4 linked regions of the Elephas maximus indicus genome follow. The protein of the gene in region 3 purifies or fractionates together with the protein of the main gene of each other region. This does not show direct contact. Links are inferred from orthologs where the notes say so. Each region holds a gene or a part of one and is shown on either strand. Other genes may lie near its edges.

Region 1 (7,788 bases), on a different chromosome or scaffold from region 3:
AGACAGAACCATTGCCCAAATAAGGCATTCCAACATAAAGATAAGCAAATCCGCACACCATCAAGGCTCTAGCATTTCCTGACAATGTGTGTGGGACCCAAAGCAATCACCTCATCATGGCCCTGCTGACCAGTGGCACAGAGCCTCCAAACTCTGCCAGGATGGGAGTTTATAAGGGTTTGAAAACCTGAACAACAGCAAACATATGATGATGGAATTATAAAAAATTAAGCAGAGAACTTACACAAACTGTAATAAGACTCTTGGTATTTAATTTTCAAAAAGGTATGGAAATAAAAAGATTTGGAAGAATTTAAACCAGAAACGTATCAGTAATTCTCTATGGGGTGTAAAACGATCAGAGACTCCTCTTTGTCTGCACAGCTGTGCTCTCTGGTTTTTCTTCAATGAACATGGATAATTAAAACACAAAACTCTGAAGAAATCTCATATGCTTTGCTAATAAATTCTTCTTAGCTTTCTCAAACAATTCTCCCTTTCAGCTCCTCTTGGACTATCGATTAAATGTGAGGTTACATCAACAAATGTCATTAGAAAGTTAAAAAAAAAAGGTCAATAGATGTTAAGGAATAACTGCACATAGACTTGACTAACACTGTAGTCTCTCGTAACAAACTGAAATATTTTTATAAGGTACCTGATAAACAAATGTAAATAAAAATAACTCAGCCTAATCAGAATTCATTAAGTTATGCTTCAAGGTAAAACAGGTGTATGCAGTGTTACGGTAAAAGATACAGCTCGCTGTGTCCATGACTTAGTGTGCTGCTTCAAGGCGAGGGTGATTCTGTCTAACTTTGGGGACACTGCTGCTGTTGGCTTTAGGTAGAAGGCACGTACATGTCGTTATAGAGCAGATACAAGGCCAGAAGCTGACCGTACACTGGGGCTGTGGCAATTCCTCCAGGAGCCTACAAAGCCAAAAGGGAAAGAGAAAAACCTTATTTATTCTTACCTCTTATTTAAAAAAAAAAAAAAAGCATTTTTTTAAATACAATGCATGTTTTATAGCCCTATTACATATATAAAAACAGCTTACAAAAGTATCAAACACTAAAACCATTGAACGAAGCTTAGCTCTGTCATCAGTTGTGACTTATCTCCCTCTGAGCCTTAATTTCTTCACATGATAATCTAATTGGGGTCTCTTTCCAAGTTTTCAAATTCTAATTTAAACGACTTTACTATTATAAGACACAAACATTCTGAACCAATTCCTAAAGCACTATGACTCTACCCATTATATCAAATATGTCGAACAGTCAACCAAAAAAAAACAAACCTATTGTCATGGAGTCGATTCTGACCCATAGCCACTCTGTAGGGCAGAGTAGAACTCCCCCATAGGGTTTCCAAGGAGCAGCTGGTGGATTCGAACTGACAACCTTTTGGTTAGCGGCCAAATGCTTCAACCACTAAGCCACCAGGGTCCACATGTTGAACAGTTAAGTACCGGTAAATGAGTGGGGAATAGAAAAACATCATGGCTGAGGTACAAAAACATTTCTTTCCCCATTTAACTTCAGGAAACATTTATTAAGCGTTTTTTATCAGTGAGCTAGAGCTACTTGGTCTCACTGTTCTCTCCTTTAATTAATTAACTATTTATAATAATGTCATGCATTTAAATGTCTAACTCAAAAAAGTCTAAACTATTAACTTCAACAGCATAATAAAACTTTCATTTGTCTTAACTAAAGACAAAACAGCAAATTTACTTGGTAGGAGTATTATGAGAATAAGACCGGCTTTCTGAGTCAAGGAAAGGTCCCACCTTTCTTGGTCTGTTTGTATATACATGGGCACATGCCTGCACAAGTGTCTTTAATAAAACCCACGTTTCCCCTCCCCCGGCCAATGACAAAGAAAGCAGCGTGTCTCGTCTAATTAATATAAAAAGCATACTGGTGGGTGTTAGGAGCAAAGACGCATATATTTGTTTTGTTTTTTCTCTCACAAGCTGAAGTTATTTGTCTTCAAACTTCAGCTTGTAAGAGAAAAAACAAAACAAGCTGAAGACAAATAACAAGTTAAACAGCAACAAAAAAGCCTTGTATAAGAAATACTACCCTACGCTTTGAAAAGCAGAAAAATTGGAACGAATTCTAAAAAGTATGTTTACTGTCCCCGCACCTGGGTGCACGTCGCAAATCGTTAACAAAGTACTGTTAACACAAGCAATGTAAAGGTCTTATCTGGGTACAAATGAACCAAAAATTGATTATAATATGGAAAAACCCAAATCTCAAACCCGTCGGCGTCGAGTAGATTCCGACTCATAGCGACCCTGCAGGACAGAGCAGAACTGCCTCATAGGGTTTCCAAGGGGCAGCTGGCGGATTCGAAGTGTCCACCTTTTGGTTAGCAGTCAAGCTCTTAACCAAAAAGGGCCAAAATTAAACTAAAGGAAAAAAAAAAAAGTCAAAATACACTGTATCAGACCAACTTAAGTCCCCAACATGGAGTCGGGGGACAGGAGAATTTCCACGCCTAGTAAGCCCAACCCGGGTCACACGAGAAAGGTGGCCCGCGCGGAGGGCGAGGCGTGATGACAGGTGGCCGGACAGCCCTGGTGCGGGGGCAGAATGGGGCTGCGACCGCGGTCCAGGCCGCGCTTCCCTCCAGGAGGCCGGGCCCGAGGGCTTCCAGGCGGAGCCGGCCGCAGCCGCCCGGGCTCCCCGCGCCCAGCTCCCGCGCCCGTCCCCTGCCGGCCGCCGTAGGGCCCGTTACCCCGGAGACCCCGCGGCTTCTCCCGGCCCGAGCCGAGCCCTACCTCGAGCTCCTGGTTCTCGCACTGATCCAGCAGCTTCTTGAAACTGAAGGCACTTTCCGCCATCACCGCCACTGGCATCTTCCCCGCCGCTCCCGCCGCCTCACCTCCCCGAAAACCAGACCCCAGACTGTCCCTACGGGTGTCGCGCCGGCGATGACGTAAAAAGCCTCGGCCGCCGACGAGCGCCCGTAGGTACTGGCAGGCGCGCCTGAGGTTTCCGTGCGTCCTCAGACGTCTCTGCGTCGGCTCGGGGGCGGGGGCAGGGGTCGTGGCCGCTCTGGCCCGCCTCTCTATGCTCTGGAGGACCGGTCGGTCCTCGCCGGAAGTCGGCGTCAGGAGTCAAGGCCAAGTCCGGGAAGGGCGGCGTTTTGTGCCTGCGGGAGGACTCCTTTTGAAGACAACCCATACGCGGAAAATAATAAACAGAAATTCCTCTAGAGGCACAGTAAAACGTTTATGTATAATAAGAAAAGAATGAGCCCTGCCGTACTGGTCGATGCCCTGCCTAGCGTTCTGGACAACGCCCTGCGCTTAGTAGGTGCTCAAGTTATGTTTGTATGTCTCAGGTTTGTGTTTTCAACCGCCTACTTGATACGTCGGCTTTGAGGCCTAATAGGCACGCAGACTTAGGTTCAAACCCTACCTCAGTCTGTTTCCCAAGCCCGCTTTTTCGCAGCCCTTCCCTCTTAGTAAAGGGCCTCACCATCCTCCAACCTGGCTCCCCTCTGCGCACCCCGCATTCGAGACTCAGGGAATCCCCGCTCTTCGCCTTCAGAATACATACAGAACCAGAACCTTTTCCAACTCGGACCCCTGAAATAGGCCAGCTACCACCCCTGTCTGCCTCCAGCCTGTTCTCTACACAGCAGCCAAAATGACTTTTATGAAACATAAATTAATTCTTGTTATTCCTCTTTTCAAAGCCCTAAAATCCAAAGGCTTTTCCATTGCTTACAAAGCTTACATGATCCAAATCCCAGCTGCTCTCTGACTCTGCTCCAGGCCTTGGGCTCCTTGGTTCTCTGCATGATACTGACTGCTGCCAAACAGTATGTTATAAATGTGTTTATTCGCTACTAAACCACAGGCGCCCCCAGGGCTAAGGCTTTGCTTTGTTCCCAGATGGCTTCACTAGTGAATTCTACCAAACATTTAAAGAAGGATTTATGCCAATTCTTCACAAACTCTTCCAAAAATTAGAAGAAGAAACACTTTACACTCATCTTATGAGGCTAGTATTACCCTAATACCAAAACCAGACAAAGTCATCACAAGGAAAGAAAACCACAGACTAAAATTGAAACCCCAAGTCGCCGTGGCTTCCTCCACTCCACTGAGGCACTCCCCCAACCTTCGTCTGCTGTCCTTGCAAACCACAGCTTCTAACTGCAGTTTGCTCCAAGCCCACAGCCCTACAAACCTTGGCTTCTAACCTTAGTTTGTTGGGGTCAAATCTTTGTACGTGCGCAGGTCAAGATCTTGGCACATGCGCAGATCAAGAGAATTCTGTACCTGACCCCAGGCCTGAGCATCACCAGAGGGGAAGATATTCTCCAGCACCCAGTGCCACCCGAGCTACTTTGGAAAGCGAGAAGTCCCCCAACTTGAACTTCCTGTGAAGAGTGACTCAGCATGACTCAGCACCCAGATCCCCAGGGATCTGAGGACATAAAAGCTCCCCAATCCTTACCTTGCTCCTTGTCTGCGCAGACAATAAATTTGCCACTTCCTATTTCCCTTGCAATTGGTGTCTGTCTTATTTTTGTGTTTTTTCAAAATCTCTTATGAATATAGATACAATTGTCCTCCACAAAATACAGGCAACCTCATCCGGCAATATACAAAATCGATTACATGCTATGGCCAAGTAGGATTTAGCCCAGAAATGTAAGGTGAGTTTAACATTCAAAAAACAATTAATATAATACGCCATATCAATAGAAAAAGGTACCAAATCCATAGATTCAGAAAAAGTGTGTGACAAAATCCAACACCCCTTCATGATAAAAATACTCAACAAACTAGGCATAGAAGGGAATTTCCTCAATGTGATGAAGGACATCTGTGAGAAACCCACACCTACAGCATATTTAATAGTAAAAGGTTGAATCCTGTGAAGCAATGAATCCCCTTACAGAGAGAAATTTGACCTTTGTCCTCAGTTCCTGAGAAATAACTGAAATTTCCTGAGTAATTACAGTACCTTTTGTTATTTGGGAGCCCTGGTGGCAGAGTGGTTAAGCACTCGGCTGCTAACCAAAAAAGGTCTGCAGTTTGAATCCACCAGTTGCTCCTTGGAAACCCTATGGGGCAGCTCTACCCTGTCCTATAGGGTTGCTATGAGTCTGAATTGACTCAACAGCAATGGGTTTGTTACTTAAGCTTAAGGACTATACCAGAGGATTTATGCTAATGAGTGGGGGGCTGGCCAAGCTAGAAGGACCACATCATGACCTGAAATCAGCTGACCTCAGGGAGATAAGGGAACATGATTCAATCACGCATATGCAATGAGGCTCTTACCATGAATATGAATATGAATATGAATATGCAATGAGGCCCCTATCATGCATATGTAATGAAACAAATAAAGGCTCTGGACACAGAGGCTTCAGGAGCTTCCTGGTTGGTGAAAGGCATGGATACACATGGGAGGGTAGTGAGCTTCTTGGGGGGTATGGAAACTCTTCATTGAGAATACCCCTGGACCTTGCCCTGTACATCTCTTCACTATGCTGATTTGTATTCTTTTTGCTACAATAAGCCTGTAACCGTAAGTATAGTATTTTCTGAGCTCTATGAATTGTTCCAGTGAATTATCAAACCCAAAGGAACAGTGGGAGCCAGCAAGTGAAAGTTAGGAAGTCCAGGGGAGGCCCCCAAACTTGGACTGACATTCTGAATGAATAGTGGGAAATACCCAAGTTTGTAGCCAGCAGGTTAGAAGTAAGGGTGTCATGTGGACTCCCAGGCTTGTGGCTGGCATCTGCCTATTTGGCAGTCTGAAGGATGGTGTCCTTTTAAGTTGTGAGATCTGACCTAGCTGGGGGTGGCTAGGGTCAGAACGAGAAAGTGCCGTGTGGGCAGAGGTTGTCAGAGATAATTGAGAAATGGGAAAGTGGGCATTTGAGTAATCTTCACATTTTGAGGATTGAATTTATGTAAATTTTTATCTGTGAAAATGCTTTTCTCCCAAAATCAAGAGGAAGACAAAGATGTCCACTGTCACCACTTCTATTTAGCACTTCACTAGAAGTTCTATTCAGGGCATTTTGGGTTTGAGGGTGTTAATGTGGCCAAGAACAAGATGATAGATTGCTCAGGTACTTCCATCGGACCACTGGCTGAGAGGGACATTTGTGTCCTTGACGGGTGAAATATCAGTTTGAGCTCTTGGGCAAGGCACCCCTGTGGGCGGCCCTGTGGTAGATGTTGCCATTTCATTAAGCAAGGTAGCAATACACAATGAAAACCATGACATAGTCTTAGCCTTGGACTTAGTGTACTGCCCTTGGGAAGCTATCCTAATGAAATAATTACTGAAGAGGGAATGAACTGCAGCTAAAACGTGGTGCAAAATCATAAAGTACAATAGCTAAACCACTGAATGACCTAATAGGTGCATGGTTAAACATGCCATGTCTGTGTCTTAGTCTCCTAGGACTGCCATAACAAAATACCACAAGTGGGTGGCTTTGAAGAACAGAAATTTATTGTCTCACAGTTCTGCAGGCTAGAAGTCCAAGTCAGCGTCTCTTCCATGTTGATTCCTCCTGAGGACTATGAGAGCGGAGCAGCCGCATGCCGCTCCCCTTGTTTCTGGTGGTGAGAATCCTGGGAGCTCCTTTGCTGCTTCTATGTGCATCTGCTTCCATCAGCTTACGCTGTGTCTTCACCCCAGGTATGTCTCTGTGTCTAAAACTGCTCCTCTTCTATGAGATGCCTCTGAGAAGGGTTTGGGATTAGGGCCCACCCTACGCCTGTATAACTTCGTTAATTTTTATGAATGTATCAATAAATACGGGAAGTGAATAAAGAAGTGAAAACTGTTGTAAGGTTTTTATGGTTAAGGTTATGTGTCACCTTGGCTAGGCCATGATTCTCAGTGGTATGGCAGATATAACGCAATCACTGTCCATGATGTGATCTGTTGTGAGCAGCCAATCAGTTGAAAAGGCAGTTTCCTTGGGGGTGTGGCCTGCAGCCAATATATATGGATGTTACAGCAAAGCTTGCTCTCTCTTGATCCTACATTAAACTGTCATAGTCTAACCTCTGATTCTTGGGATGTGAACCAGCAGCCTGCTGTCTGACCTGCCAATTTTGGGTTCATCAGACCCTACAAATGTATGACTCAGGAAAAATCTCCAGCCTGAGAGCTGACCCACAGAATTTGGGTCTTGCCAGCCTCCATAATTACATGACCCAAATAAATCTCTCTCTCTCTGTGTATATATATATGATATGCAGATGACACAACCTTGCTTGCTGAAAATGAAGAGGACTTAAAAGACTTACAGGTGAATACCAAAGACTAAAGCCTTCAGTATGGACTACACCTCAACATAAAGATGAGAAAACTCCTCACTGCTGGACCAATAAGCAACAGCATGATAATGGACAAAATATTGAAGTTGTCAAGGATTTCATTTGACTTGAATCTACAATACCAACAACACCCATGGAAGCAGCAGTCAAGAAATCAAATGACATATTGCATCGCACAAATCTGCTGCAAAATGCCCCTTTACAGTGTTAAAAAGCAAAGATGTCACTTTGAAGACTAAGATGTCCCTGACCCAAGGCATGATATTTTCAGTCACCTCACATTCATGTGAAAGCTGGACAATAAATAAGGAAGACTGAAAAAGAATTGATGCCTTTGAATTACTGTGTTGGTGAAGAATATTGAATATATCATGGGCTCCCAGAAGAATAGACAAATCTGTTTTGGAAAAATACGGCCAGAATGCTCCTTAGAAGCAAGGATGGTG
Region 2 (7,613 bases), on a different chromosome or scaffold from region 3:
TTTTCCTTCAGAATCTTCTGCATTTTCTGCAAACACTCCAGCATATTTCAGGCAGACTGCTAGCTGCTTATCTTCAGATAGCTTCCAAATCATCCCTCCCTGTTCAGGACACTTCTCAGGGATACCGAGAAGGCTGTTTAGTCTTTTCATGGATCCTATGCTTAAGACAATTCCTCCTTCCACACTCACATATTCAAGGTCTCCAGATTTTATAGTGTGGCCTAGGTAGAAGGGCTGTGATGGATCCTTTTTTAACAAAAAATACTTTAAGTTTTCAATAATGGCAAACGTAGTGGGGCGTGCAAGGAAGAACCAGTTGTATTGGTCTTTATATTTATCAAAAGCATATTCGTAAGCTTTTCTCATCATTATCCACATGTCATCTGTTTCCATATTAATTGATTCAAACACTTTAACATTTTCAGAACTGAAGAACTCTGCTTTGTCACAGTGTTTGGTCCAAGTCTCCTTCACTGCAGCCCAAAGACTCACATCTTTGGGTTTTACAAGGATGATACAGTACACCCGAAAGCTCTTACTGAGCTCCATGCGTTCATCATCTGAAATTTTCAAGATATCTTCTTTGTTAGGAGCTTGTAGGTGATGATGCTCATGGTGGTGCATTCTATTTTCATGACCAATCCTAACGTGGCCTAGCATAGTGATCAAGGCACAGAAAATGCTTCCGAGCATCATACCCTTCAAAAATGAACTGCTTTCAGAAAGCATTTTTCCTATAAAGAAGAAAAAGATCCTTAAAATATTTAAAGGAAAAAGATTAGTCATTTGATTTGGTATTCCTTATATACTTACATTTTGCTCTGAACATTAAAAAGGTTCCCAAGTTTGAAATCCAGTTAGTTGTACATAGTACCAATGACCCTAGGAATCTTTAGCTTCCAGTGGCATCTGATTACTGTTTGATGTAAACTGGAACTTTGAAGCAACTCCTCTATGGAGTACAATCTGCTGTGAGAAGGCTCTTTTTTTTTTTTGTACTTCATCTGTGGGGATTTAATTGTCCAAGTACTAAATCAAAGCATTAACTCTAGAAACCAATGTCACAGAAGTTGTCCGTTCATCGTTCTCTTTAAAGGAATTTCGTTTCACAAGCTTGCATTATGTTATTCAAATACCTTTGCAGATATAAATGGACCTTCACACCAAAACCTTAAGTCTAACAGATAAAGCCACCTACAAGTGGCAAATCACCAATGGTATCTGTGTTGACATTTCTATTCCCAGCCTAGTACTTTATTTAACTGATGGCTGCTGACCTTAGGTGTTTGGAGTACATCTAAATCAAGTATCTTGAGATTGATAGCATATATGCTAATATTTACACTTTTGTTCCTAAAACTAAATGGTTTCCAATACTGTACCTAATACGTATCTCAACTAACTGGTGTATTAAAAGCTTATGATGGGAATAGTTAAATTATTTCGATGAGAACTAAATCAATACAGACATATCTGGGGACCATTAACAAACATTTTATTTCCTGAAAAGGCATTTTCTTCTTCCAGTAAAAAAGGGAAACTCTACACTTTTACTTCAACTGGAAAAAGCCAAACCAAACCAAACCTGTTGCCATCGAGTTGATTCCAACGCATGGCGACCCTAGACGACAGAGTAGAACTGCCCCCATAGGATTTCCAAGGAATGCCTGGTAGATTTGAACTGCCTTTTGGGTAGCTCTTAACCACTACACCACCAGGGTTTCCAACTGAAAAAGCCAACATTAAATACAACCAGCATTTATGCTTGTAAAGGCTAGTATTTTCCCAATCACCCCTTCATCTTCACAAAGAATGTTTTATTGAGCTACTCAGGTTTTCTCTTTGTCTCTTAAAGTTCAAAGGGGCACTAGAAGCTATCTAATGCCTTTTATCTCATTTTACAAATAGGGAAACTAAGGTCCAGAGAGGTTAAGCAACTGACCCAAAGTCACGAAGTTAATGGTAGAAGTGGAACTAGACACCAGATCTCCTGACATCACTTTAATATTTTTCTCATTACATATCAATTTCTACGGTGCTTCTACCCATAGTATTGAGACTTTAACAAATGAATCACTTGTTTTCCTACAGACCAAAAAAAAATATGTGTATATATACATATGGGGATCTGTTAACCATAATTGACATTTTACACCCAACATCATCATACTAAGAACTGGGGTGGGGGGAGAAGCAGGATGGTTGCACTGTATCACTCAAGGCACTTGATCAATAAACAGCTCCAAGAAGGAAAAGAGAACAGGAAACAAGCTTTGCTTAATTAGAACTGTCAGGGGTGCTCTAAAATTAACGTATATAGGAATGTGGCATTTCACATTACACAATTTTCATTATTTCTGGCCAATATATTTCACATGTGTCTCTCAGCTCCATAATGGCAAATAACGTCAGAATTCTGCCTGATGGGTTATTACTCATGGCTGCAAAAATATTGAACAAACTCAAGAAGTCAGCAATTTTTAAATAAAACCATTCACACAAATTATTCTAAGGAGTAGACTTCTTTTTTTTTTTCCAATCAAGGCAGGCCAAAAAATGTAACACTGGAAACGCACATGATAGGATATTTGAAGAAGAGAGGGAAACTTAAAACAAACACAAATGAAGCACTATCATAGTGGTTGGGATGAATCTTTTTAGAAGGTGAAGGTGCTGGGGTGGAGTATCAAAAAGGGAGGAGGACGAAAGGGGAGAAGAGAAGTAAGGAGTAGGATACGGTCACCTCAAAACTCTCCATCTCCCCCACTGACTATTCCTCCAACAGCACCTGCCTTGGCGTCCCGCGTGGAGCATGCTGGGAGTGAGCAAGGGCTCAGGCCCTCCTCAGGGAAGAGGCAGGGTCAGAACATTCCGGGGTCCGCGGGGGTGGGGGCCGAGACCCCGGCACTCACCGGTGTCTACAACGCCTCAGGGGTGGGAAAGCGCAGCCGCGCACAGCTTTCCTCTCAGGTCCGCGCGCCACTTGGTAACGCTCCCAGTCAGGCTGCTCTAGCTGCAGGCGGAGTCCTCTCGTTGGTTTCACTAAAGGTGGGGAGGACCAAGAAGCGGAGGCCACGAAGGCGAAGACAGCGGGGCGGGGCAAACGGGCCCTCGGCCCGGCTGAACCGCCCGCCCGCCCGCTCGCTCAGACCTCAGAAGGGCCCGCGCCTACGCCGCGCGCCTCTTTCTCTCAGTGCGCACGCAGCGCGCCTCTTTCTCCCCGCCCACCGCACGCTCTCCTGTACCCAATGGGACGCCTAGAGAGGCGTGCGTGCATCGGACCCGCCGACACCTCCCACCTCTTCTTCTTCCCGATGTGAAAACCGAGGGTGTTGTAGACTCTGGTTCCTGGCGGCCGTACGTGGGATGTCTCAGTGGTTTCTGTAAGGTAGCTCTGCATCATTGCACCCTTATATTGGCAAAGAGGTATTCCACCCGAGTACTTTTGGACTGGGGCCCAAATGTCAGCCACTAAAATCATTGAATTATGAGGGTAAGAATTCGCTATGGTTACTGGGCTGGGATCCGAAGCAACGCTGCCTGGAATCCAATCCTATCTTCACCACTAGCTTTGATGTCCTCGGAAATTTACTTCACCTCTCAACGCTTCAGTGCCCTCTTTTCTAAAATACAGAAAATATCACAGTAATGCCTATCTTGTAGAAGATTAAATGAGACAGTGCATGTGACTCCCTTAGCAAAACACCAACCATAGAGTAAGAGTTCAACAAATGTTGGCTGTTATTATTGTTCACTCCTCAACAATAAATATATAGTGGAATTAAATGAGTTAGAGCTACAGATGAGGAACCAGGCCCAGAAAGGATAAGAAACCTAATATAGGTCACATAGCTAGGTAGAGGCAGAGGTGGAACTAGAATCCAGGTCTCCTAATTACAAGTGCAGAACTCCTTCCACTAAATATATGGTCTATCATAAAATTCTTTTTGTGGCAGAGAGGGGTTTTTGCTAAAAAGCACAAATCCCTAGAAATATTTTAAATGTCACTATGTTTCCTTCAAATAGCATTAACTGAATGATTTCTCTATATTAGATACTGCTGTGGTGACTTCAGCTAGCGTTTCCAAAAACACATCTATCTTAGATGTTTTTGGGTCTATTAGCAATGACTATTCAGTCACAAAAAAATAGGCTCTGGGCAATTATCATGGCGGTGCTACCTTAAATTCTGGGGCTATGGTGGTAAACAAAATAAGTCCCCTGTAAAATATAGAACTGTCCGTCTAGCAGGGAAGAATGACATTAAACAATTTATTACAAATAATTGTAATAGTGATATATTCTCTGTTGTTGTTAGTTGCCGTTTTTTATTTATTGTGCTCTAAGTGAAAGTTTACAGTTCAAGTTAATTTCTCATACAAAAATTTATACACACATTGTTCTGTGACCCTAGTTGCTCTCCCTGTAATGTGACATGTCAGCTGCCTTTGACTCAGCCCCTGACTCTAAGGAATACAAAAGATGAATTTTTGAACTGGAAAGGAATTTAATACTGCAGAATATCTCTGTTATATTTTCTTGATTGATATATAGTCATTTTTAGATTGTCACAAATATAAATATATGTGTATACACGCACATATATATATAGTTAAGTGAAACAAGTTGCAGAATAATGTGTATAGTATGATTATACTTTGGTAACAACAAACAAATTTTTATATACATGCACATATGCTTGGTTTGTTTGAATGAGCAAGAGAGTATAGAACTATACCCAGCAGTATTGATCACATCCGGAGGTTGAGGTGAGTATGGTTAACTCTGTCATTATCCATCTTTGTATTGCATTGTTTCACTGCTTCTAACGAGCATTTATTACTTTTGAATTTGAAAAGCAGCAAATAAAGGAATTAAAAAAAATTAAAGCAACAAAGAGGAAAAGATACCAATACCTTTTTAAAGAGAATAGAGAACTAGTTTTCCTTGCAAAAAAGGACCAAGGAAGGACAGATAGAAATTTCACTCAGATTTCAGAGACAATTATAAGGAGGCAATTTAAAACATTTCTTTTTTCTAGTACAGGAAGGTATACCAAACTGGAAGTACTGATACACAGTGCTCTGAAACAGAACAAACCATAAGATTTTCAACACCAGAAACACTGCTAATGAGAAATTGTTTAAGAACCCAGTTCTCTATTTAAAGCAGAATTTAAGTATACTTAACATTTGAAATGAAGTTAGAGATGATTGACTTTAGTTAGGTGATTTCATTTTTTAGACCTTTACATATTATAACCTTAATAAGTCATGCAATTAGTATCTACTAAAAATAAGAATGTTTACACTCAGCATATAAGTGGGCCCAGCAAACCCACTTCTAGTAATCGCTCCCACAGAAATTAAAACATCAGAATGTAAGGCTGAATATATAAGGAAAAATGCATTATTGTTTATAATAGCAAAAGTGGGAAACATTCATCAATAAGGAAATGGTTGAATTAATTATGGTACAGCCATATAATGGAATATTAAACATTTAAAAACAAGATAGCTTATTTCACTAACCTGCACTAAACTTCACTAAACACACTAACCTGCACCTGTTATGGGGGTTTGCATTTGAATTTGGTTGCCTTCATGTACATAGCAGGCAAGGCAAGACTGCATTCAAAGCCGAAAACACTGCCTTTTTGGAAAAGCATTTCTGCCAATTCCATGCATTATGCAGCGTAGAGGTCATTAATTTCTAGTAATTGGAGATTCACTTGCGTGTAAGCACTCAAATTTTCAAAATTTGCCCTCAGGCCTTTGGGAAATTGACGTGACTTTCTGCAACAGTTCACTGGAATAATATTGAAGAAAATCTAAGGTGGATTGTTTTCTGCATAACATCTTTTTGGAGGGTTAAAAATATCTTCTGTGAATGAAGTACCTCTGTGTAACTCTTCTGCCCAGAGTTTCTCAACTGTTCATGTGCAATAAACAAATTCCCTGGTCTGAGCAAATTCATTATTGTTTCAGCTTGAGGATAGTTTGGTCTCTAAATGAATCTCAGTTTGTGTTTTCAGGCATATTCATGCTTGGAATCTTATGTCAAAAATATTTTTCTACTTAAAAATATCTGAGAGTTTTTTTTTTTTTAAATGAACAAACCCATTTGCCCTCCAACAAAATGTTTACAGTATGTCATATCAGGCACTGTACTAGGTATTGTTTCTTTTAAAAACTTTTTTATTATGGAGAATTTCAAACTTACACAGAAGTAGAGAGAAAAGTATAATGAAATCACATGTACTTTTCACGAACCTTGAACAATCATCACCTCAAAGCCAATCTTGTCACATCTATACGTCTTCCACTTCCCTTTCTTCTAGATTATTGTAAAGCTCCTTCTGTCGTAAACATGTCAATATGGATCTCTAAGAGATAAGAATTTCTAAAAATCCACAATACCACTATCATATCTGAAAATTAATAATTCCTTAATTAATCAAATATCTAGAGTGTTCAAATTACCAACAATATCACAATTTTTTTATAGTCTAAATCAGACTCCAAATAAAATCTCTACAATGTGATTGGTTTTTGTGTCTCTTACGTCTCTTTTTAGTCTAGGTTCTCTCTTACTTTCTTTTCTTCTCTTGACATTTCTTTGTTGAAGCAATCTGATTGTTCTTGTAGATTTACCCACAGTCTGGTGCTGATTACCTCATCCTGGTTCTTTTAATATGTTTCTCTGTCCTTTGTATTCCCTGTGGACTGGTAGTTTGCCACATTTAGTAAATAAAAATACAGGATACCCAGTTAAAATTAAATTTGAGATAAACAAGGAATAATTTTTAGTATAAATATGTCCCGGATGTATTGCATGAGACATACTAACTATTGCATGTGACATGCTTATGCTAAAAAATTATTCCTTGTTTATCTGAAATTCAGATTGAACTGGATGTCCTGTATTTTATATGGCAACCCTAACCCTAATCAAAAGGCTTGGTTAGAATCAGGTTCATTTCTTTTCCGGGAAAAACTGCTTCATAGGTGGTTCTGTGTGCTTCCCTCAGGAGCCACATACTGTCTGGTTGTCTCTCCCTGTGATGCTCGCTGCCACTGATGGCCAGTGCCTGTGGTATTAATTCATCAGGGTTGCAATATGTGGTCTTGTAATTTTTAAGGCATTTTTTTTTTTTTTTACTGTGGTAGCAGTGTACATATAGGTCCCTGGGTGGTACTAATGGTTTGCTCTTGGCTACTAACGGCTGCTAACCAAAGGGTCAGCAGTTCGAATCTGCCAGGCGCTCCTTGGAAACTCTATGGAGCAGTTCTACTCTGTCCTATAAGGGTCGCTATGAGTCAAAATTGACTCGACAGCACTGGGTTTGGTTTTTTTTTTTTTTACTAACTGAAAGGTTGGTGGTTCAAATCCACCCAGTGGCTCTGGGGAAGAAAAGCCTGGTGATCTGCTTCGGTAAGATTAAATCCAACCTACTGCCGTTGAGTCGATTCTGACCCATAGTGACCCTATTTGACAGAGTAGAACTGCCCCGTAGGGTTTCCAAGGAGTGCCTGGTGGATTTGAACTGCTGACTTTTTGGTTAGCAGCTGAGCTCTTAACCACTACACCACCAGGGCTCCTGCAACCATTAT
Region 3 (7,527 bases):
TAAGGGTAATAAGGGTAGGCATTCAATAAATATTTGAGTATCATCACCATTTAGATGTCTGAAGATACCCACAGTTACTTTTGATCCCAATCATCTCCTTGTAACTGGTTGACTTTTTATTCCTTCAACAAATACTTCTTTATCACTACTATCTGGCATAGGAAATTGCTCACCCCTTTAATGAAGGTGGGTTTGTCCTTTGTATTAAAGTTCCACAGCAAGATATCTCCCCCTTTGGAACCTACAGCCAGGGTGCTGGGGTGAGTTGGATGCCATGCCAAGGATGTGGCCCTCCTGTCAAAGGGGGCGGCCTTGTGGAATATCCGGTAAGAAGCCAGAGAGTGCAAAAAGGACTGCTGGAGACTCTGACACAGAGAGAAAAGAATGAAGTTGAATTAACACCCAAGTCCTGGGTAAAATGCCAATCTCTAAGTCTTCCCACCAAAGAAAACTAACTGCTTGGCCCTCTACCTGAAAATACCACCCTCCTCCCCAGCCAATATCTGCAATGTATGTGAACTAATCTTGGAAAGCAAGGGGGCAGAGTTCATTCCAGCTGGGATCTTTACTTCTACCTGGCTGACTGCCCATAGGCCAGTCACCAAGGTTGGAGTGATCTGACCACTCTGACAACCTGCCAACCAACCCATCCTCTAATTTTGGAGCATCCAAGAGTAAAAAGGCACCATACAAACCCTTAAGCACTTCAGCCAGGAAACGCCTCACCTGCTGCAGCATCGGCCAGGCAGCTTTGCCCAGCTTATGCTGGTGGAGGGCCCTGACGATGCTGGTGTATGGCGACAGAACCTGCAGATTAGCCAATCCCGCCCAAAGACAGCCTGAGTCATATCTTCTGCTAGAACCTGTCAAAACAGAACAGACACATATTTTTCTCTCTGATCTCACTCAGGAAAGATCTTTCTGCTGAAATCCAAAAAGCCTTGTTGTTTCATTCAGCACAGCCCATCTATGCCATCTCCATGATTTGCTTAGCTTCACCCAGCACAAGTAGTAAGTAGTGAGTAGGCATTCTACCCCATTCTAACCCCCAACCCGCTCAAACTGTAACTCTGAAGTGAAAGCTAAATATGATCTTGCAGGCTTCCTGAGCCAAAGAAACAACGCATAAATAAAGTACATCGCAAAACGCTTCCCACTTTGGGCTGGAAAACTCGAGATAAGATGGGTGACAATTTTAAAATCACATATGATGTGCAAAAAAAAAGATTTTAAGACAATCTAGTAGAAATGACTGTTTAGGAAAAGAAATATCTTAAAATCCTATATTAAAATAATGCAGAGGTGGTCAGCTGTAGGCCCCAAATCCTCTCTCTCCTCCTCCCAGAAGCCAGTAGCATCCAAAGGGTCTGAACTAGCTCTAAGGAACCCAGGCTCGTTCTGGGGAGGTAAATCCACTTAGAATAGGAATAAAGCAGCTCTGGATTACCAAAATGCATTTGAGGACCTGATCTATTTGGATCCAGTCTCCTGAAAGCCAATTATTTCTATTCATAGGCCTAAAAAAAAAAAAAAAAAAAAAAAATTCCCTGCTTCACTTCTTGGATCAGGTGGACACTTGAGACTACATTGGCATCTCCTGTCTGGAGGGGAGATGAGAGGGTGGAGGGGGTTAAACGCTGGCGAAAAGGACACGAAAAAAGAGAGTGTAGGGAGAGAGCAGGCTGTTTCATTAGGGGGAGAGTAATTGGGAGTGTGTAGCAAGGTGTATATGGGTTTTTGTGAGAGACTGACTTGATTTGTAAACTTTCACTTAAAGCACAATAAAAATTATTAAAAAAAAAATCCCTGCTTCAGTCTCTAAGACTCCCCACAGTCCTTATAATCCCAAATTCAAGCCCCAAAAAGCCTCTGAGAATGAGCTTTCTAAGGAAGTAGAGAAATTGAGGGCTCACAGCCTAAATCAAGGACATAGAGCTAACAATCATGACTACTGAAATTCAGCGAACACTATCAGACAAGGCAGAATTATTTTAAGCAGTTCTCAGTGTGAAAAGATTCCAATAATAATAATAATAAAAAAACCTAAACCCATTGCCGTGAGTTGATTCCGCCTCATAGCGACCCTACAGAACAGAGTAGAACTGCCCCCATAAGGTTTCCAAAGAGCCGCTCGTGGATTCAAACTGCTGACCTTTTTAGTTAGCAGCCGAGCTCTTGACCACTGCGCCACCAGGGCAAGGAACTTAAAAAAAAGTTCTCGTCGGTTATAACGGAGCTTATCTACGTCCTCTCTTCACCTAACGGGAGTTAAGCCCACGTTCTCTGGTCTCAAAGCTGGCAGGTGTCAACGGACCGGCAGGCAAAATGCACAGCCTGAGGCGTCCGTAAGCTGGGAAAGCCTTAGGAACCTGGGAGCCACCCGTCCCCCACCCCAGTCTCCTGCGTCACAACTCCAAATGGCGGAAATATTAAGCCAGCAGGCACAGACAGTACCGGGACCCTTCACAAAGAGCTTCTTGGCCTCTTGCTCCAGCTCCTGAGGGCTTCTGCTCCTCTTGCCCTTGGGGCACTTAGGAACTTCAAGGGTCTTCTTGGTTTCTGGAGGTTTCCTGGGAGCCATCGCGTCTTCCGGGTGATGGAGTACTCGCGACCCTATGCCGAGATCATGGAACGCGGACTGAGAGGCCTCTAAGGAGAAACAAGACAGGGACCAAGAAAGCCAGGTGTGCCACAGGTAGCCCAACTAAGCCAACTTCCCGCCAAACAGGCTCACGGCTTTCGAACCAGCTTCTAGTTCCGGAACCGCCCCTGTGGGAGGGGCCCCGCCCCTTCCTGGAAGGCGGGAGCGCGCCAGGAGAGCTGGGGAGAGAGTGTGGGGAGAGGGGCGTACCTGTTCCCCCTAGAGGGCTTAGAATGCTTCCCTCCGCCCCCCAAAACACCCCCCGAAATGGGATATCACCCACGTGATGGGCCTGTTCTAGTCCAAGTCAGCTGACTGCCAGAAGTAAAGACGGCCGGCAGCGCTAGGTCACTAAACTTGAACCTCTTCAGCTGTGGCGTTGCCAGGCCTCTGCTGAGAGTACAGGTGCCAATCAAGGCTGCGGCTCCCGCCTTCACTGACTTCTTATTGGGGATGAAGCCTACTCCGGCTTTGGGATTGGCTGGTGCGTACAGGGTGTGGTTAGGGAGACCACTTCGGAGAAAGATACCCCTTAGCTGCTGTGGAAACTGGGGGTGTTGTTGCCCGCCACCTTTGCGATTGGCATCGAGTACCTCCCCAGCTCCGTCGAATCCGAGCTTCTCTTTGCAGAGCGGTTGGAGCTCTCGGCTTTTATCAGATTTTTCCAAACCTGTGTGTCCGCCTAGGGACCAGCCTGGGGCAGTAATGGGCGGGGAGGCCATGTAGCACAGGGTGCTTTGAGGTCCTGTGTCTTCAACTTGAGCCAAAGGCCAAGGCAGTGAGTTGAGCCTCATATGGGTGGGCGGGCGTTCCACTCGGCCCGGGTATGGCTAGGGGAGAGAGAAGAACATCCTAGTGCAGGAACAGCTTGGGCAAAGTTAGGAATGGGTGTGGTTTTTAAAGAGAAAAGCCGTCCTGGCATCTGGAAGATGGCCTGGTACTGTCAGCCAGGCCTTGATGTTCTGTTGAAAACCTGAAATAATTCCACAGAACATCAGCATCAGACAAGGCCACTTTATGACCATGATAGATCAAGATAAAAACATGATCAGTCATGTCTGAGCACAGACAAAACTGTGAGCAATTGTCTAAAGGACATAAATGATCAAACATTTCCCTTTTTTGACTAATATGAATGCCTGCTGCTTCTATGCCGATTATAGCTTTAACTTTGCTTCATTCCTCCCACCTAGTACACAAGATTTGTTAAGATAATCCAATCATAGAATTACCCCTACTTCCTGACAGGCTCCGATCCAAAGCAAACCAACCAGTTTCTGTCAGTCAATTTCAACTCCGGGCTATGGCATGTGAGTGAGAGTAGAATCCTGCTCCATAGGGCTTTCAGTGGCTGGCTCTGAGGGAAGTGGCCAGGCTTTTCTACCCACGTGTCTCTTTTTTTGCACATTAACTTTTTGCACATTAACCATTTGTACCACCTAGGGACTCCTGCTTCCTTAAACCCAGCCCAAAATCGTCGAACACAAGCCAATTCCTATAAATCCTTTCTAACATCCTCTTGAGATACCACACCATTCCCCATTGCTCCCTTTGAATGAACAGCAAACCCAAAGTTCAACTATAAAAGTATTTCTGGTGGTGTCTGGCTGGGGGACATTGACATTTATGAGTAGAGTGGGAGGTAGCTGGAAGAGTATCTTCTGTTTCTTTAGTGCTGCTGTTACAGAAATACCATAAGGGAGTGGCTTTCATGAATAAAAATTTATTTGCTCACAGTTCAAATTAGGAGGCTAGAAGTCCAAATCCAGGGCACCAGCTGTAGGGGAAGCTCTCTCTCCCTGTCAGCTCTAGGGGAAGGCTTTCTCTCTCTGTCAGCTCTGAAGGAAGGTCCTTGTCTCTGTTCATATTCCGTTCCTCGTTTCTTGGTGATCTCCATTTGGCGTCCATCTTCAGCTTCTTCTTGCTTTTATCTGTGCCTAAGCTGCTACTTTTATATCTCAAAAGTGATTGGCTTACTGTGAAACATTTCATAACATGGAGGAACCTGGAAGGCATTAGTCAGATCCAAAAGGACAAATATTGTATAAGATCACTATTATAAGATCTGGAGAAATAGTTTAAACTGAGAACACGTTCTTTTGTGGTTACGAGAGGGGGGAGGGAGGGAGGGTGGGAGAGGGTTATTTACTGATTAGATAGTAGATAAGAACTACTTTCGGTGAAGGGAAGGACAATACTCAATACAGGGAGGTCAGCACAACTGGACTGGACCAAAAGCAGTTTCCTGAATAAACTGAATGCTTCAAAGGTCAGCGAAGCAGGGGTGGGGGTTTGGGGACTATGGCTTCAGGGAATGTCTAAGTCAATTGGCAAAATAAATTCTATTAAGAAAACATTCTGCATCCCACTTTGAAGTGTGGCACCTGGGGTCTTAAACACTAGCAAGTGGCCATGTAAGATGCATCAATGAGTCTCAACCCACCTGGATCAAAGGAGAATGAAGAACACCAAGGTCACAAGGTAATTATAAGCCCAAGAGACAGCAAGGGCTACATGAACTAGAGACTGCATCATCCTGAGACCAGAAGAACTAGTTGGTGCCCTGCCACAACCAATGACTGCCCTGACAGGGAGCACAACAGAGAACCCCTGAGGGAGCAGGAGAACAGTGGGATGCAGACCCCAAATTCTCACAAAAAGGCCAGACTTAATGGTCTGACTGAGACTAGAGAATCCCGGTGGTCATGGTCCCCAAACCTTCTGTTGGCCCAGGACAGGAACCATTCCTGAAGCCAACTCATCAGACATGGATTGGACAGGACAATGGGTTGGAGAGAGATGCTGATGAGGAGTGAGCTACTTGTATCAGGTGGACACTTGAGACTATGTAGGCATCTCCTGTCTAGAGGGGAGATGGGAGGTTAGAGGGGGTTAGAAACTTGCAAAATGGTCACAAAAGGAAAGACTGGAAGGAGGGAGCGGGCTGACTCATTAGGGGGAGAGCAAGCAGGAGTATGTAGTAAGGTGTATGTAAGTTTATATGTGAGAGACTGACTTGATTTGTAGGCTTTCACTTAAAGCACAATAAAAAGTATTTAAAAATAAAATAAAATAATGTAAAAAAAAGTGATTGGCTTAACTCTTCAGACGGAGATTGGACTGAACTATAAAACATAAAATAATACTCCTGAAGAATATTAGTTCAAGCAGATATATGAGACTAAATGGGTGGCTCCTGTCCAGAGGCAGGATGAGAAGGCAGGAAGGGACAGGAGCTGGCTGGATGGGCATGGAAAACCTGGAGTGGAAAGAGAGAACGTGCTGTCATATTATAGGGATTGCAACTACTGTCACATAACAATATGTGTATAAATTTTTGTATGAGAAACTAGCTTGAGCTGTAAATTTTCACCTAAAGCACAAAAACAACAAAAAAACGATTGGCTTAAAACATACGCAACATCGATATGGCGGCATTAACATAACAAAGAAAATTCTGTTCCCAGATTGGATTATATCCCATAGTATTGTTGTTGTTACTAAGTGTTGTCAGGTCGATTTTATACTCATAGTGACCCCACGTGACGAAGTGGAACCACCCCATAAAGTTTTCTAGGCTGTAGTCTAGGCTGTAGGGAGTAGATCAGCAGGTCTTTCTCCCACAGAGTCTCTGGGTGGCTTTAACCATCAGCCTTTCTGTTAGCAGCCAAGTGCTTAACCAGGGCTCCTTTCTACATGTATAAACCAAACCAAACCTGTTTCCATCAAGTCAATTCCAACTCATAGCGACCATATAGGACAGGGCAGAACTGCCCCATAGGGTTTCCAAGGAGCGGCTGGTGGATTCCAACTGCAGACCTTTTGATTAGCAGCTGAATTCTTAACCACTGTGCCACCAGGGCTTCTCCTACGTGTTTAGGGGTTAGCATTTACAACAGGTATTTTGAAGGGGACACAATTCAATCCATAACAAAAAGGAAACCTGACCTTCTGCTATGACCAACGTTCTGTTGAGGATCTGTGCAAAGTCAGAAGGACCAGATACAGGGCAAAGTTGAGTGGCAGTCACAGGAATTCAAATTTTATTCATTCCATCGACATTTATCAAAAACCAATTCTGTGCCTGGCACTATTTCAGGCAAAGGGAATCCTGGAATGAAAAACTCTACTTGCCCCATTGGACAAGTGTACCTTCTAATAGTGGGAAAGCCAAGAAAACCTATAACTATCGTACAGTGGGTAAGCTTAGTGAGAGAGGAAGCCTAGGGTTCTGGCTGGGGTGGGAGGACAGAAAAGGGACACCTTAACTCAGCTTGGAGCGGGGAAAAGGAGAGGCTTGTTGTTGTTCCCAGGTGACACTTAAGCTGAATCTTAGGAGACTGAGGGAGGAGGGAGAGAGCATTCCAGGCAGAGGGATCAGGAAATGAAAAGGCAGAAAGGTAATAGTTACCCATGATGGATTCATTAGCTAAGAAATGTCCTGCTTAATGCCAGGTTGTCCCAAAATTCTCAGGATTGGGGAGGTTTTCCATGGTGGATGAAAAGAACCATGTATGAGCAGTGGGAACCTGCTTGGGACACACCAGTAAAGCGCCTTGTTTGAGATTGTGCTTTGAGACACCTTAACCAGGTTTTAAAAAGGAGCCCTGAGGGCGCAGTCGTTAAAATCTTGGCTGCTAACTGAAATGTCAGCAGTTTGAGCCCATCAGCCACTCCACAGGAGAAAGATGCGGCGGTCTGCTTCTATAAAGCTTTCAGCAGTTCTACTCTGTCCTATAGGGTGGCTATGAGTCAGAATCGACTCGATGGCAATGGGTTTGGTTTTTTGGTTTGGTGGCGCTGTGGGTAAGTGCTAGGCTGCTAACCAAAAGATTGGCAGTTCTAACCTACCCAGTGGCTACAAGGGAGAAAGACCTGGTGATCTG
Region 4 (7,326 bases), on a different chromosome or scaffold from region 3:
ATGAGCTTCCCAAAGGTAAGCACTATAGCAATCTCCATTTGTAGAACGGCTAGATTTGGCCACATGTGAAACAACATTCAGCAGCTTTTGGTGCTGAAATTTCAACCATTACATAAACTAGAGGGGACACTGGTAATTCAGTGATAGAATTCTTGCCTTTTACACACCCAGAAACCACCCAGTGTCGTCGAGTCGATTCACACAAGAGACCCAAATTCAATTCTTGCCAATGTACCTCACGTATGCAGAAGATGTGGCAGTCTGCTTCCGTAAAGATTTATAGCCTTGGAAATCTTATAGGGTCACTATGAGTCAGAATCAACTCAGTGGCAGGGCGTTTGGTTTTTCTGGTTTGCACCCCATGTGCAGTCGCCACCAGTTTGTCACTGGAGGCTTGCGTGTTGCTACGATGCTGAACAGGTTTCAGCAGAGCTCCCAGATGAAGAGACTAGGAAGAAAGGCCTGCCAATCTACTACTACTAAAAATCAGCAAAGAAAACCCTATGGATTTTAACAGGCGTTTTCTTCCACTGCGCACGACATCACCATGAGTCAGGGCCCAACTTGACAAAAGCCAACAACAACATCATATACTAGAAAGTGCTTGATACAAGCCATGAAATAAGATAGGACTGGCTTATTTCATTAAAGAGTTGGCAGTATGGTGACACTAAATACACTGAGAATTCAATTCTTAAGTACAAAGCAAGGACTTGGAAGCAGCTGACCGCATGTTCTCCAAGTTCCCCATGCTTTGTAGTCCCAACAGAAACGACAGTCTGGGTAGAGAGATCCTATGGAGACGTAGCAGAGCTGGACTGAGGCAAGCCTTGTCAAGCAGGACCAGTCCTTTTCTATCATATTCCCAGGGCGATGCAGTGGTTAAGAGCTACAGCTGCTAACCATAAGGTCAGCAGCTCGAATCCACCAGGCATTCCTTGGAAACTCTATGGGGCAGTTCTACTCTGCCCTACAGGGTCGCTATGAGTCAGAATCGACTTGACCACAACGGGTTTGGTTTTTTTGTTGTTGTTTTCTTATTACCCTAGAAGACTTTTAGAATATCAGAGAACAATCTGATGACAGCAAGGAGGATTCTCGGTGAAAGTTTCACATTACAAAAGGAGGAGACATCTATCTAAACAACCAAAAGAGCAGGGAAATAGGGTCAATCTGGCAATGATGAGTAGGGGTCCATTCAGGAAAAACCCAAGTGCAGTGGTCTGAAGTCCCCTGGTGAAGGGTTTAATTATCAGACAGAAGAACCTGAGTTCTGATTCCCAGTTCTCTGAATACCAACCTAAACTCTTATGGTAGCCTTGGCAGTAGGATAGACTACAGGGAGGAAAAGGAAGTAAGCAACCACCTGGCTGAGTAATAGCTAACATTTACTGAGTGCTTACTACATGCCAGCCATGGCTCTAAGCACTTTACATACATTAATTCACTTAATTCTATACAATACTCTACTCATTGCTATCTCTTCTGACTGACTGAGGACCAGAAATTAAGTAACATGTTCCAAGTCACACAGCTAGTAAATGGGAGAGTTGAGTTATAAACCTAGACATTCAATATGGCTCCAGAGCCCTGACTCTAAACAGTTATTCTATGCTGCCTCTGTCCAGAAAGTGAAGACCATGTCAAGAATAGGTAGTGTTGAAGGTGGATTGAAGAAGGATGGTGCCAGAGGTCCAAAGTGGGGAGGGTTGCAGATAAACTACAGGTTCCTTGTATCTTGGGCACAACCTGGGTTCATGGGGCATTCAGTAGCAGAAGGAACACCTCAAAGGTGTCAGTCATACATCTACCAGGGCAGGGAGAAGCGGCAGGGAGCCAGAAAAGAGGACGAGTCAGACCGAGAGGCCAAAATGAATGAGAAAACTGCCAGGTGCACAGGGGAACAATAACTTAAGAGTTTTGCCAGCAATAACCTCCTTAAGAGCTGACCTCGTCCAACAGCAACTCAGTAGATAACTACCTAAGTTTGGGAAACAGGGAAGGAACCTGCAGCTCCGAGATAGAGAAAAGGGATGTTGTGGGAGGGGGAGAGCTCCACGATCCCCCAGTCCTCTATTCTAAGGAAAAGACCCAGAGTTAAGGGCCAACTAGAAAAGTCTAGTCCAATGTCGCACCAAGAGGTCGGGGGTCACAGCCAGGGTCTTCCAACCTCTGAGTGCGGTGTTCCCGTCTACCCTGCCCATTCTGGCTAAAGAGCTGCACCTCCTGCGACAAGCTGAGCCTGGTACATTCAATGGGCATTAAATATACGTTTATTTAAGGAATGAATGAGTGTGTGAATGAATGAAAATACGAGCGGAGGAGTATTTATGCTGTCTCAATTTATGCTGCACCGGATAGGCTGGGGGACAGTGAGCTACCATAAAGTGAAACCCTGGGCTCGGCCAAATGTAAGGTCCCCATGCTGCCTCTGCCCGTTCTAGGAACCACATAGCGTCTTTACATCCAGCATTCTCAGGGGCAAGCCAGCTTCCCAGCCGCCAACCGCAGAAGCACGCCCAACTGGCACTCCTTTCACACAAATCTCGATGGGGGACCCCAAAAACGGGGTGCCCGGGTCCACGACGCGGGCTCGTGGCCCCGAAGCACCCTGGGACTTGTAGTCCCCAGCCGATCGGCCAGAGCCTCCCCTGGAGCCCTACGCAGCCCTCGCCAACGGCCCCTGCTCGGTGCCCTAACCGAGCCAGGCCGCTGCGGGCCGGGGTCGCCCACAGGCTGCGGTCGGGTGGACACAGAGCTGGTACGCAGGAGAGGGCTTTAAGGGATGGGTCCCGGCCAGACGGTGCCAGCCACGGGCAGGATGGCAGCGGATGGCGACGGATGCGCGGGACTCCACTCACCATCATTTTGGAAGCTTATTTAATGGCCCGCTCCTCCTCCTCTCTTCTCTGGGTCCCGGCCGTCCGGCAACCCCACAATGCCTCGCGCCAAAGAAGTTCGCAGAACCTTCGTCAAGGCGTTGTGCCGGGAGAGGAAGGGGACGGGCCACTTCCGCCACTCTATGGTTCTTCTACCACAGAGTCGGCAAGGCTAGAAGGGCCAGAGGCTGGGCTTCGGAAGGAGGTGTAGGTCCCGCTACCCGAGGCCTTAATTACCGAAGCTTCTCCGGATTCCGGTCGTGCGTTTTTCTTCTCGGTGGTGCAGGCTTCTTACTCCGCCCCCGTCACCTACTAACCCTGATTCCGCCCCGATCCCCCACTGGACACTAGACCAAGGAATGCAATAAACGCGTGCATTTATTGAATGCTGTGAAACTGGCCTATGCTAAGTAAGCGCTTTTCGTAAATGAGCTCAATCCTAACAACCCTATTGCCTGGGTACTATTATTATACCTAGGGGCCGTGGTGTTGCAGTGGTTAAGCGTTTGGCTGCTAACCAAAAGGCCGGCAGTTCGAGTCCACTAGCCGCTCCCTGGAAACGCTGCCAGGCAGTTCTATTCTGCCTTATAGGGTCGCTAGCTATGAGTCGGAATCGACTCAACAACGGGCTTGGTTCTTTTGTTTGTCTTATTATTATACCTCTTTTCCAGATGAAGGAACTGAAGCTCAGAGAGGTTAAGAAATGGTGTCCAAAGTCACAGTTGCACACAGTGTGACAGTGAGGCGGGGTGAGAACCTGGCCCCAATACTCGTTTTCTGGCTCTGCACTGGCCAAAGCCTTACGGCTGCAGATCAGGCCGCGTTCCCAACGCCTACGAATAGTGAGCGCGCAAGAAATGATGCAACTGGGCATAAGACTGGCGGGCCTTGAACGCCAAGCCGAGAACGGTGGGCCACCTGGGCGCTAGACAAATGCCTTCCCGCGGGGTGGGGGCGTGGGACGGATTGGGGGAAGGAAAGCAAAGCAGAGTGCTCACGCCTGGGAGAAGGCAAATAAATTGTGAAGCGGCCACGGAGAGGATCCGGCCGAGATGGCAGGAACTAACCGCCAGGGCTTTTAGGCCGCTGAAGCGAGTCATCCGGGGTGCCCACCCCCAATTCTCCCTCCTCCCGGACCGGCCCACCAGTCGGTGAAGCCTTGGAGAGTCATATCCAAACTGAGAAGTGCTGGGGCGGGGCTGGGGCGAGGGCTGGCAATTGGTGTTCACAGCTTAAGCCAATCAGCCTTCAGCCCCACTTCTCTTGGCCAATGGGAAGTAGGCTAAGGCGCAGAGGCGGAAAGCGTGGCTACATGAGCAGGCATGAGAGCCAATCGGCAACAGGCCTCGTTCCGGTTAGCCAACAAGCCACGAGAGCGGGTCTGTGGGCGGGAGGCCGGAGCAGCTCTCCGGCTGAAGTCCGGCGAGGGACGCGCGGCGGGGCGCCGGGGGAAAACGCAGAGCCGGGCAGGGCCCTGGAAATGGTCCCTGGGGCCGCGGGCTGGTGTTGTCTCGTGCTCTGGTTCCCCGCGTGCGTCGCGGCCCACGGTGAGCAACGGGCGGGACTGCGCTGTGGGGCAGGCCGTCCAGCTTGCGCGCGTCTCCGGCTGGGGGCCACGGGTCACCTTGGGGACCCCGCGAGTTTGAGGCAGGGCAGGTGCGGGGACAGATGGCTGGCTGGTTGGGTGCTGGTCCCCAGGGACATGCGCTAGGCGCAGCCCAAGCCTAGACTCTGAGTCCTCAGCCCCCCACGTTGAAGCAGGACCCAGGTGGCCGAGGGTGGTGACCAGGACGAGGCACAAGGGACACCTGGAAAATCCTACAAGCTGGAGATATGTATGTGAGCACTCATACACATAAAAATATAATAAAAAATTATACAGCATATAATCCTACATCTGGGCTCTCACACAAGCACACACAATCTGTTAGCACCTACACAAGCACATGTACGTATACAGCCATGTATACATGTATGTATATATTTGTATATGTCGTTAGGTGCCGTGGAGTCGGTTCCAGCTCATAACCCTATATATGTGTGTATGTGTGTGTATACATATATATAAACCCCCCAGTGCCGTCGAGTCGATTCCGACTCGTATATATACATACACACATATACTCACACTTAATTTACACAGATAAACAGATGCAGAGGCTAGGCAAGGAGGTGGGGTGGGGAGCTTAGCTTTAATTCAGGAAGGCCTCCTGGAAGTGCATCTGTATTGGATGGAGAGTCCCCATTCTTGGGTCAAAACGCTATTGCCCAGTGCCAAGCCAACAGAGCGCTACCTGGTGGCAGTGATGTGGGCAGTAGGCGAGGACAACTAGTCACAATCAGCCCAAAGTCTGGCACATGGTAGTGCATGGTAATTTGTTGGCTAGCTGATCCATGGCTAAGGAAACCAGGGACTCGAGGCCAGGTAAAATATTAAACTTTGGTGCTGAAAAGAAGTTCCCACACCCCAGGAAAGTCTGTTTGCTCTGGCAATTCTCTTCCTCAGTGTGTTGGAGCCAGAAATAGTTGCTCATTCGTCACCCTTTGTTGAGCACCCGCTATATCTTAGCCCCTGTGTTAGACACTGGGGATGCAGCAATGAATATGAATACAATTACAAATTTTGTTGAAAACGTCAGTGGAGAAGAAGTACGAGGGGAACTCAATTCGAATGGGTGTTAGGAGAAGGCAGTCACAGTGCAGAAAGTTTCTCTGAGAAAGTGAAATTTAAGCTGTGACCCAAAGGATGCATAGGAGTGAGGCAGGTAAATACGTGGGGTGAGTGAAGGTAGGGAGCCTTCTAGGTAGAGAGAACAACTTGGAGGAAGACCTGGAGAAGTGAAGAGCTGGGATGGTCAAGAAACTGAAAGGAGGGCAGCGTAGTTTGAATATAGTAAGGAGGAGATGAGCTTGCAGTAGTGTCCGGGGGCCAGATCAAGCAGTGTCTTGTAGGCTGTTAAGACTTAAGATTCGATTTTAAGTCCAAAGGGAAGTCATTGAAGTCCTGGGGATGACAACATGGTCGTGTTTATGTGTTAAGATGGCTATTGTTTGGAGAATGGACCTTAGGAAGCAAGAGTGGAGGCAAACAAAAGTTAAGAAGCTGGAACAGTCAGGGCAATAGGGTGGGTGGGCTAGGGGAATGGCAGTGGGAACAGAGAGTCAATTTTAAGTTTTAGTGAGAATTGTTTACCGGGGCCACGACATCTCCACCTTGAAACTCCCAGGCCCACTTCAGAGCAAACAAGGATTAACTCCCCAGAGAGAGAACACTAGAACAGCAGCTATAAATCTCTGGGGTTACTAATGTTATCTGCCTCAACTCTATCCTCTACAGGGCAAAGACCGTCTATCTCACCCTCCTGGGGAGACCAGTCAGCCCAGGTTCAGACCCAGAGTCCACGGTCTGAACCTGAACTAACTTGTTCCCCGGAAGCTTCTCACCTGTACTCTTTGTCCTTCAGGCTTACGTATCAATGACTATTTGTACTTCCAAGTGCTGAGTCCTGGGGACATTCGATACATCTTCACAGCCACACCTGCCAAGGACTTTGGTGGTATCTTTGTAAGTTTCCGGAGGCCCTCTCCATTTTGACGTTCTTCCTCCCCTCCTCACTGAGCTGGGTGTCCCTCTCATCCCTTCAACCAGTACCTGAGTGCCGCCACGGCCCAGTGCTGAGCCGGGGAATGGATCAGAACCCAGCTGTGCCCTCCAGGGGCTGCAGTGCAGGGAGGAAATGCTTCCAGCTCCTCCCGTGGGTCTAGCACAGACCTGGGCACCATGGAGGGACAGGCTGTCATGACATAGTGAGAAACCAAAGGCACCAGCTTCCTCTGCCAGCTCTACCTCTGAACTATGTGATTTAAGGCAAGTCACTTCCCCTCTCTGGGTCCACACAAACTCCCCTATCTCCCAGAAAGGCAGGGTTGGGTAGGACAATCATCTGGGCCTTCGTGAGAATTACAATGCTCCAGTTCCCTGCACACAGAAACCAGTTCATGTTTCCTTCACACTCTACGGGAAACCAATTGGATGGGATGTCAGCGCAGTCAGAAAGCAGCCATCTTTTCACACTCTATTCTACCTGAATGTCTTTCAGCACACAAGGTATGAGCAGATCCACCTTGTCCCTGCCGAACCCCCAGAGGCCTGTGGGGAACTCAGCAACGGTTTCTTCATCCAGGACCAAATCGCTCTGGTGGAGAGGGGGTAAGGAGCGGGCAGACATGGACACAAGGGGAGAGCAGGCATAGGGCAGATTTGGGGGTCATAGTTGTTAGTGATGCTTTGAAACAGCTTTTCTGGGGACGAGTCATTGTTTTAAAGGTGTTTAAAACTATCTTAAGATGATTCCGGCCCTTTGGCTATTTACCTACTAGCCATTATAAAAAATCCTCCATGGTCCTTCTTCCACCCACACAGGTGATGGTCTGGAAAGGGGTAGCT

The links.
Region 1: the proteins of DDB2 (region 3) and COPS8 purify together in Homo sapiens (affinity purification with mass spectrometry; 6 studies listed by BioGRID and IntAct, counting the BioPlex papers as one, with this or other methods). This does not show direct contact. The link is inferred for Elephas maximus indicus from reciprocal best matches to the Homo sapiens genes DDB2 and COPS8.
Region 2: the proteins of DDB2 (region 3) and CUL4B purify together in Homo sapiens (affinity purification with mass spectrometry; 11 studies listed by BioGRID and IntAct, counting the BioPlex papers as one, with this or other methods). This does not show direct contact. The link is inferred for Elephas maximus indicus from reciprocal best matches to the Homo sapiens genes DDB2 and CUL4B.
Region 4: the proteins of DDB2 (region 3) and CCT7 purify together in Homo sapiens (co-immunoprecipitation; 3 studies listed by BioGRID and IntAct, counting the BioPlex papers as one, with this or other methods). This does not show direct contact. The link is inferred for Elephas maximus indicus from reciprocal best matches to the Homo sapiens genes DDB2 and CCT7.

The regions. Positions count from the first base shown.
Region 1 is NC_064824.1:139,246,578-139,254,365, reverse strand, and holds the start of COPS8 (COP9 signalosome complex subunit 8), read right to left. Parts: upstream 3,012-7,788; 5' UTR 2,873-3,011; coding exon 2,795-2,872; intron 933-2,794; coding exon 862-932; intron 1-861. UniProt on the Homo sapiens protein: Component of the COP9 signalosome complex (CSN), a complex involved in various cellular and developmental processes.
Region 2 is NC_064846.1:35,959,015-35,966,627, reverse strand, and holds the start of CUL4B (cullin-4B), read right to left. Parts: upstream 3,001-7,613; 5' UTR 2,913-3,000; intron 755-2,912; exon of another isoform or gene 730-754; coding exon of another isoform or gene 1-729. Other genes in the region: C1GALT1C1 (C1GALT1-specific chaperone 1), read right to left, coding at 1-729.
Region 3 is NC_064825.1:102,634,440-102,641,966, reverse strand, and holds the start of DDB2 (DNA damage-binding protein 2), read right to left. Parts: upstream 3,013-7,527; 5' UTR 2,925-3,012; intron 2,650-2,924; 5' UTR 2,582-2,649; coding exon 2,455-2,581; intron 864-2,454; coding exon 727-863; intron 366-726; coding exon 174-365; intron 1-173.
Region 4 is NC_064835.1:62,607,024-62,614,349, forward strand, and holds the start of CCT7 (T-complex protein 1 subunit eta), read right to left. Parts: upstream 3,005-7,326; 5' UTR 2,868-3,004; coding exon 2,862-2,867; intron 1-2,861. Other genes in the region: PRADC1 (protease-associated domain-containing protein 1), read left to right, coding at 4,360-4,426, 6,344-6,444, 6,980-7,089. UniProt on the Homo sapiens protein: Component of the chaperonin-containing T-complex (TRiC), a molecular chaperone complex that assists the folding of actin, tubulin and other proteins upon ATP hydrolysis.